2 linked regions of the Cricetulus griseus genome follow. The protein of the gene in region 2 interacts with the protein of the main gene of each other region in a biochemical or structural test. Links are inferred from orthologs where the notes say so. Each region holds a gene or a part of one and is shown on either strand. Other genes may lie near its edges. The genes, in order: Mitf and Pias3.

What was found.
Region 1: the proteins of Pias3 (region 2) and Mitf form a complex in vitro, tested with the Homo sapiens proteins (2 studies listed by BioGRID). The link is inferred for Cricetulus griseus from reciprocal best matches to the Homo sapiens genes PIAS3 and MITF.

What each region holds. Positions count from the first base shown.
Region 1 is NC_048601.1:46,121,641-46,125,991, reverse strand, and holds the start of Mitf (microphthalmia-associated transcription factor), read left to right. Parts: upstream 1-1,459; 5' UTR 1,460-1,615; coding exon 1,616-1,719; intron 1,720-4,351. UniProt on the Homo sapiens protein: Transcription factor that acts as a master regulator of melanocyte survival and differentiation as well as melanosome biogenesis.
Region 2 is NW_023276806.1:59,801,176-59,805,736, forward strand, and holds the start of Pias3 (E3 SUMO-protein ligase PIAS3), read right to left. Parts: upstream 2,915-4,561; 5' UTR 2,789-2,914; coding exon 2,765-2,788; intron 961-2,764; coding exon 543-960; intron 379-542; coding exon 294-378; intron 118-293; coding exon 67-117; intron 1-66. UniProt on the Homo sapiens protein: Functions as an E3-type small ubiquitin-like modifier (SUMO) ligase, stabilizing the interaction between UBE2I and the substrate, and as a SUMO-tethering factor.

The sequences.
Region 1 (4,351 bases), on a different chromosome or scaffold from region 2:
TTTGTGAGGCAAGAGATGGGAATGGGTAATTCCCAGGAGGTGCCCAACCACCCGTGTAGACTTCTTAGGACAATCATTTAATTTATTACTTCTGAAAGTGTAAACACAGGAAGAGATGCTAGTTTGAAAAGAATGTCTTAATCTGGGCAAAAGAAACAGCCAAAGTTAATGCTGTTCTTTGAGCAGCATTTTAATTAACGAGTTAATTAATTGATTAATTGTGTGGGTACCTGCATGTGGCTGTCAGTAGACAGCTTTCAGGAGTTAATAGTTACCTGCTTCCACGCAGGGGTCCCGGGGCATCAGTCTCAGGTTGCCATGTTTGTAGACAAGTACATTTATTTACGAGCCATCTTGCTTGCCCTGCAGTTTACCACATTGCCAGTCAATTTTTCTTAATTTGACCTTGCAACACCAACTCCAACAGGTTTCCTAATCTCTTCTTTTATAAATGAGGAAATTGAGGCTTCTGGGAGTCAAACTGATGTATCTAAGACTACACAGGATTTATTAGAAGAAATCAGGATTTCTACAATCTTAAACACCATTCTTAACACTGATGTCTCAAAGCACCTGTTTTATGTGAAATGAAGAACCCTAATGGAACTAATTAGAAGACAGGTCTACAAGTACAAATGTGTTAAAGTGCAGTCATTTAATACATTACCTAGCTCAGTGCCTTGAAGCTGCACGGGCTTGCAAAGTTAGGACAATCTCACTTGAACTCCCAGCCAGCTGAGAAATTGAAAGCAGACAGTGGCGAAGCTGTTTGGTAACTTGGTGCCTTTTAAAATGAACTGGATCCTCCAAGTGCTGCTTTGGATTAGAGGTAACTAATTGGATAAAAGGAAAGGAGCCTTTCAGCTGATGAAGAGTATTGTAAGAGCCCAGACTTGAGTGAGTTCCAGAAAAGGAACGCACAAGAACAACTTCTCCAATAATGTTCTCATTACAAAGGAGTAGTTTCCAACACTCAGTTTCAATTGAGGACAAGACGATATGTCGCTGCAGCCCGGAGAAGCTTAGGGGCAGCGGGGGGTGGGGGCGAATAGAAAGCCCTTTTATTTTAAAATGGGCTTTAACTCTGAAACTTTTCTAGTGCCAAACCCTGTAGTGTTTTATTTTTTAAATGAACCCTTGGCGTGCCCTCACAGATGTCTGAGCTGGGAGGGACAGTAGGAGACCAGGCTGAATCCGTTGTTATTAATATTAAACAGCCAGGTCTGTACCCTTGAAGCAAACGGGAGAGACGCGGAGAGGAGCTGCTGACATTGACAAGGAATCCAAACAGGACTTGCACTATCGGTACACACCACGTTGCCGCTCCCCGGCTCGGCCTTCTGGGAGTTGTAGTCTTGGAGGAAGCTGCTCTCCTATAGAGCTGGTAGGCTCTGCAGGAAGGAACTACAAATCCCAGGATGCATCGGGATCGGCCCCTCCCGCTCTGATGCCAGTGTAAACTCACCGCGCCGGGGCGGGCGGTCGGCTAGCGGGCTTAGCGGGGCACTGCGCAGGGCGCGTGGCTTGGGGGACTCAAGTGCCCCCCCCCCATCTTCGTCAGGTGCCGGGGTTCTGCTCCAAGTTCCAAGAAGTGGAAGGCGGGCAAGCGGGAGCCATGCAGTCAGAATCTGGGATTGTGGCGGATTTCGAAGTCGGGGAGGAGTTTCACGAAGAACCCAAAACCTATTACGAACTCAAAAGTCAACCTCTGAAGAGCAGGTGAGTGGTGACAGCTGGAGGGAGGCGCGGCTGGAGGCCCAGGGGCCCCGCGCTTGCTACCCTGGGACGGGAACAGCCAGTCTGAATAGCTGTGGGACAAGGACCCCGTGCCCTTGCCTTGGGGTACAGGGAGACTTGACCCCTGGCATCTGGGGTCCTGCTCTCAGAGACTTGCTCGCATCCTAGGGTGTCTGACAGACACTTCGAGGGCACCATGGCTCTCTTGGGATGGCTCATCCAGGCGCGGGGACCCTTGGCTGCACATGCCAGCTGCTGAGCTGAATGGGGGCTGGGGCTGTACCCTGCTGGCCGAGGTGGGGTAAGAGGAGCACCTGATACGGACCGTGACCTGGTGCTATACCCAGTGGCAGAGTTTTTTCTGAGGATCATAGCAGGCTGAGGGCTGGAGAGGGAGAGCTTGGAGTGGATGGAGATCCGATGCTCCAGGGAAGCAATAAACTGGCCTGGAGTATCTCCTTGTAGTTCAGCTTCTTTGGGAGAGACTGCTCCGGGTGGTACCTAGGTGAAGTTCACCGGGGCTTTTTCTGCCACCTGCCACCTGGGAGCATCTGTACCCCCCCACTCCCGGGGTGGGGGTGGGGGGCAGGCAGCGGGTGGGCGTGTCTCCCCAAGCTCTTAGGAATAGAGCTCCTGGCAAATGCAAAAAGAAGGGACAGAGGGAGACAAGGAGGGAAGGAGGGAGGGAGGACAGGAGGGAGGACCGGAGGGAGGGAGGAAGGAAAGAAGGAAGGAAAGAAAGAACGAAGAAAAGCTACTTCAGAGGCCTGTGGTGGTTGGGAATGATCTCTTTTTGGCTGCTACACAAGTTTAATTCCCCAGGCACTTCAAAAACTTTGGGACTTGAGTGAAGATGCCCTCTGGTCTGGTGCCTCCCACCTCTGTACACCTGCAACACCCTTATCCTTTGCATCATGGTCTATTGCTATTTGGCTGGCAGAATCGGTTATCTTCCCTTTTCACTCTCTTTGATCACTCTGGATCCCTAGCACTTCTTATTTGTGAGAATACAGAGAGGGGGATGGTCACTGAAATCTGTGATAGCCAAAGAAAGGCTTTATTTCCACCCCTTTCATTTGTGAGATGAGATAAGGCTGAGGTTGGAAGCATTATCACTTTGTCCATCAGTTGAGACTAGGGTCTAGGTGAGTTTCCCCTGGCAGAGGGGCAGAGAGAAAAGGAGGATGAGTCTTAACTCTGCTGGAAAGTGGAGCCAGGTTACTTTCCTTCAGGCCTGGGGCAGGACCTTGAATCCAGTTAGGCGAACAAACTCTGGGAAGAGCAGATGTCCCTGGCTGCCCTTGCTAAAGCAGGCTTTTTGCACATGCTTGTGGCAGAGTGGAAGGAAATGTGTTAGGCATTGAGATGCATTAACTTGGCCCTTCACTGGTGGCTCCTTTTATAATGGCTATTTTGTATGTGAACGTGGATTGTGTGTATTGGGTGCTCTGAGTGAGATTGTGTAAGGGGTATTGTTGGCTATGCTAGTTAGGGCTTTATCTGCATGTGGCTGAAGGGACCAGTGTTTTACTGAGCAGCCCCTGCTTTTGCTTCTATAAGCAAATGCTCACATGGCCAGAATGAGAGGGTGTGTGTGTGTGTGTGTGTGTGTGTGTGTGTGTGTGTGTGTGTGTGTGTGTGTGTGTGTTCCTGAAAGAAATGAATTAACTGGACTGTTTAGAACATTTATATGATGGGTAATACATTAAATGAGTTTGAGGGAGTGAGGAAAATATGCTTTGGAGAAAGCCAGTGAGTGCCCTGATACTTATGTGGAAGGATTTGGTTCTGTTCTTTGTCACAGTCAGGAGCTCATGTTCTTTGTAGCTAGCTAGCTAGTATGGGGAAAGAAAACTGTAGGTAAGTGGGCATAAAGAACTTCACATGTTGGTACCAGAAGCCAGGTAGGATGGAGGAGACATATGCTCTTTGAAATAAACCAGTTAAATAAAATCTGTGAGTAAGTATCTGGAGTGGGTGACATTTCCTTATACTGTTTATGACAGTTGTCCTAATGGTATTGTCATTTGCATATGTTTTGTAACCTTAAATGGGCTTCATGTGGTTCAGGGTCTTCTCCTTGTTTTTAATTTGGAGTCTTTACTGGGGCCCCCCTTAAGTCCTGGTTGGGAAAAAAGTTGTAATGAAAGTTGCAGACTCTTATAACAAGACCATTTATGTATTGTTTAGATCAGAGGTTCTCAACCTGTGGGTGTTGATGCCTTTGGGTTTGAATGACCCTCTCCAGGGGATGCATATCACAAAGCCTTCGTATCAGATAATTAAATTACAATTCATTATAATAGCAAAATTACAATTATGATGTAGCTACAAAAGTAATTTTATGTTGGGGGTCACCATGACATGATGCGCTGTATTAAAGGGTTTAATCATTTGAGAACCACTGGTCTAGAATGTTCCAAAATTCACCTATGTCTTGCCTATTTCTCTTCGGTGACACTGGCCAAGTCAGTGTCAGTCCTTGCCTGGGTTATTGAATCAATCTCTTAATTCTCTCAGCCTTGGCCACTTTTAGATTTTTAATTTAGCAGCCACAATAATCTTATTAAACTGATTTTCTTTTAGGGCTGAGAGCAGGAGTCAGCCAGTAAAG
Region 2 (4,561 bases):
GCAGAACAAGCAGATGAGTATGCCATACCCCTACGTAGCACCCATCCTTGTTAAGAAGCAACTCACCTTAGCTGCACTTGTATGGTATAATCACACTTGGCTCCTGGCAGAACCTCTCTGCAATAGAAAGAGAAATGTCAATTCAGAGGGTGGGGCTAGGCAGAGAGAAAGATGTCCAGGGTGCAGACAGAAGACAGGCAGAAGAACAAGAGACGATGTAGAACAGAGAAGAAAGGCAGAGGCAAAGGCAGGGGGGAAAGTCCCCACAGACAAGGCAGGGATGAGAGATGTACCTGGATGTGAGAATCTGCTGCACCTGCTGGGGAGTGAGGGCAAAGGTAAAGTGCGCTTCCTCAAACCTCTGGCTGGAGGTGGATGCTGAGGACACAAACACACAGTCATTCCCAAGCCCATGCCTGGGAAGCTACTTGCTCCCATCCCAGATTGCTGGTTCTACAACACTAAAATCTAAGAAGAAAAAAAAACCCGAGCCTGAACCAGAGTCCAGAAAGGAACTCTGAGGGACCATAGCCCAGCCATACCGAGGGTGGTGGGCCGGATGAGCTCCCCATAGACTTCGTAGAAGGGCAGCGGTTTCATGGTGACATCAGGGTGCACTGGCTGGGGCAGAGGTGGGTGCATGTCCACCTCGCGCTTAGGGCCCAGCAGGGCCCCAGGGGTTAGAAGGGAGGGAGGGATGGGAGCTGGAGGGCCAGGGGAGCCTACAGGGGAGGTGCCAGGGGGTAAGGAGAGCAGGGAAAGGTCAGAGGGCCCCAGGGCCTTCCTGGGAAAGCGCCTGCGGTAAAGTTCTTTGATCTTCATCTGGACACTGGGGGCACAGCTGGACTTGAGGAGATGCAGGGCCTTGGCCAGGAGCTCGTGTTTCCGTCCACTCTTGTTCCGGCCAGCGAAGCCAAGGAGCACCTGGAGCTCAGACACTCGGAAACTCATCACCATGTGCTAGGAGAAGAGCACAGAAATAATCCCATGCCACGTCACAAAAGCCTGTCCTGCTGATGACAGAAGCAGAACTCCTGGGGGGACAGTGCCTCTCCCCTCCACCCTCGGTGTTGGAAGGTACTTCTAAAACTAGTGCACTACCTCCAAGTAGCTGACCTGACTAGCTGAAACCACAGGGACCACTTAGCCCCATCCCCACCCCTGATCCAGACATTCCCTTAAGCTGATTATAGTCTCTCCAGGGCTCAGACTCTTAGGGTGTTCCTAGCCTCCTGGGAAAAGGATAGGACAGGAGGAGGAAGAGAAGGATTCGGGGCAGGCAGCCCCATGAGGAAGAAAAAGGCCAGGTGGCTAGAGGATTGTATACCACAGCCCGCCCCTCCCAATCACCTCAATCCATTTATTCTCCCCATATCTCTGAATTGAAGCTTCTATGGTCAGGAGTTTTAGGTCAAAGTTCAACATTTCATCATCATCATCATCTCACCACCACACACACACTTTTTATATTATATACATACCCACACTCTTTTAGTCCTGTTTTACTAGAAGGAAGCTATCAAAACTTGTAGGGGAGAAGGGTTAATCCACATGTCTAGGTAATTGACCTGATTTACTCCCTCATACATGGTATACACACCCACAGGGGTGGAAACCAGGGGCAAAGTTCTCAACAGAGATCCCAGAAAAATGATACTGATGTCCATGGACCACCGCACAGAAGTAAGCTCTTCTTTTGTTTGTTTTTGAGACAGTTTCTCTGTGTACCCCTGGCTGGTCTCGAAGTCACAGAGATCCTCCTGCCTCTGCCTCCCTAGTGCATGTGCCACCACTGCCCGGCTCAAAAGTAAGCTCTTAAAAGGTGGCTAGAACTCAAGCCTGTCTAGGACAAGGACGGAGCAAAGCCAGAAGATGGGGGAAGGAAGGTCCAAGGTTCCGAGGGATGTCCTCCTTGTAGGGCTCCCTTCTGTAAATGCCTACAAGACCTAGTCGTGGGCAGGTCATTAGCTCTCCAAGTTCTTTTCCTCTTGGGCTCCTTTTCAGGGATGTGATGAAAACCTTGTCCTTCTACCTTTCCATTCTCACCTCCTCCTATTTGTATTTTTTTTTAATTTCTCCGCTGGCTTTGTAACTTATTTTCTATCCCATGGCTCACACTCCTCCACCTCTCCCAAGACAGAGAGCCTCGTTAAGACAGTTCCCTCCCCTCAGCCATCAGGATGCTCCTGCCCCATCCCTTCAGGTACACTCCCATACAGCCCCGCCCCCTACGTCTCAGCTGCCAACTGGTACTTCCCAAGGCTCAGATGCCAACAGCAGCAGCCCGGGAGCCTCCATCCTCAGCCGCACGTCCCCGGGAGCCTGCCAACATTTGGGTGGCCTTCGGCTCCCATCCCTACGTCTCCCCTTTACTGCCGCATCTCTTGCCCCGATGGGACTCGCCCCTACGCCTCTGGAGCGGCTGTCTCTCGCCTGACGCTACCCTGCAAAACCTCCTACTAAAAGCGGCTACGGCCCACGTCCCCGCCCCCTATGCCGCGGGTGTCTCCCCCCCCCCCCCGGCGGCAGCGACAATTTTCCCCCTCCGCCCCACCCCACCCCTACATCTGCCCTGCGGGGCCCCGCCCCGGGGTTGCCGCCGCAGCCCCTTCTTCCCGCGGCCGCTGCCCGCGCATCCCTGCAGCCCGTCGTCCCTGACACGTCGCCCGCGCCCACCGCGGCCCGCGGCGCCCAGCCGGGTCGCCTCCCCGCCTCGGCGCGCGGCCGGGCGAGTCCTGACGGGGCTGGGGGAGGGGGCAGGTACCTTTAACTCGCCCAGCTCCGCCATCTTGAGACATCGCAGGCGCCCCAGCCCGAGCCGGAGCTCAGGCCCAGGGACCGGCGCAAACTCTCCGCCCCAGCGCCGGCCGCAAAGGCCGCCTGCTCCGCCCCGTCCGGCCCCCTACACCTCCCCTTCCCGGCCCCGCCCGCCGGGCTTCGGACGGCCGCCGGCCTCGCCCCTTCTTCCGCAGCCCCGCCGCCCGAGGCAAGTCTCCGGCGGCGCGGCCGGCCGGCGAGCGGCCGGCGGGCGGGCGGGCGGCGCGGTGGCCCCGCGGGGAGAGCGCGGCCCAGGGACCGCGAGGCCCTGCGGGTAACGAGGAGGGGGCGGGCCCGAAGGGACGGGCTTTTTTTTTTTGCGGGGGGGGGGGAGCCGAGGAGACTTGAAAGACGGAGGGAAAAGCATCCGGAACTGCCCTGCCGGGGCTCCACCGCGTGGGGGAGGGGCGGCGAAGTTGGAGCCCGTGTCCCGTCGTCGTCGTCCCCTCCACCACCCCCCCACCCCGAGCTGCTAAAAGTTTAGCCCGCGAAACCCCCAGAGTTCTGCCAACTCTGGGAGTGCGGCGCTCCTGCCCGGTTTAGGGGGGAGTTGGGTGAGATGGCTGTGGCCGGTCCTTCGCCTCCTCCCCCGGACACACAGCCACTCCGAGCGTAGCTCCTGCTGGCGCCACACGACGCCAGGCTCGAGCAGCCACAAAGTTGGGTGCGGGAGGCCAGACTTACCTGCAGAGTTGCGGGAGTGCGCCCCGGCGCGGAAAGGGCCCGCGCTGCTCCCGCAGGCTGTGCAGCGAGAGAGCGGTCCGGTCCCGTCCGGCAGGCAGGCAGGCAGGCAGGCAGGGGGACGCCGCAGCCGCAGCTCCGCCCGGACCAGAGCTCCTCCCGGCCGAGCGTTGCTGCTGCGGCCGCCCCCTCCGGGATAAACCCGCCAGGACCTCGGAGAGGGGAGAGGGGCGGAGCCCAGGAGCCCGGCGCGAGATGTTAACTCTTGGGAGCGCTTAGGAGAGAAGCTTTCCAAAAGTCTCGGTGACCCTGTGATCCCTTGCGGGAGTGTAAGGACTGGGTTGGGCAGGGAGGCAGGACTGTGTGCACCGGGAACCTGGTTGCTTAAAAAGGTTCTAGGATGAAATCTCCATCTGCCTAGGGGAAAGCCTAAGGCTACAAATGGAAAAATAAACAATGCAAACCCTACAGATGGCCCTCTATCACCCGACCTTCAAATGTGCTTACAGTAACTAGGTATCTCACAGTTTTGGTGTCCTTCAAAATGAACACAGGGGAGGAACACGAACAAAGGAAACATTTTTGTCCCTCATTGAAATGCCTACTCCCTCCTCCAAAGCTTTGCCCTTCCCCAGTAGGCCACGCACTCGCAGACTAGAGTAATTCATTTCTATGTTTATGAAGATAGCGACTCTAGGGCAGTGTGCCTTATATACTAGTTATTGTAAAACAAACAAAACTCCACATTTTATAGTTGTTTGGGGCCTAAGGAATATTGTCATTTGTTCAGTAAGTATTTGACAAGGGGGGGAGGTAAATATTAAACTGCTAATGAGGGATTGTTAGGTGCTGAGGGCTTAAAACCTTTCAAAAGCTCAGTCTACTTCAGAGGCAAGTTGTTATACAATGAGCATGCAAAAAATAAACAGCCCTAATAAATACTAGAAATAATCCCATTTAAGCCTTCAGTGTAATCCTTTCCATGAGCACCAACCCAAGCCACAAGCCATAGGGGGCTAACAATATTCCCAGATACCTGATAAACCACACTGGACTACCTCCG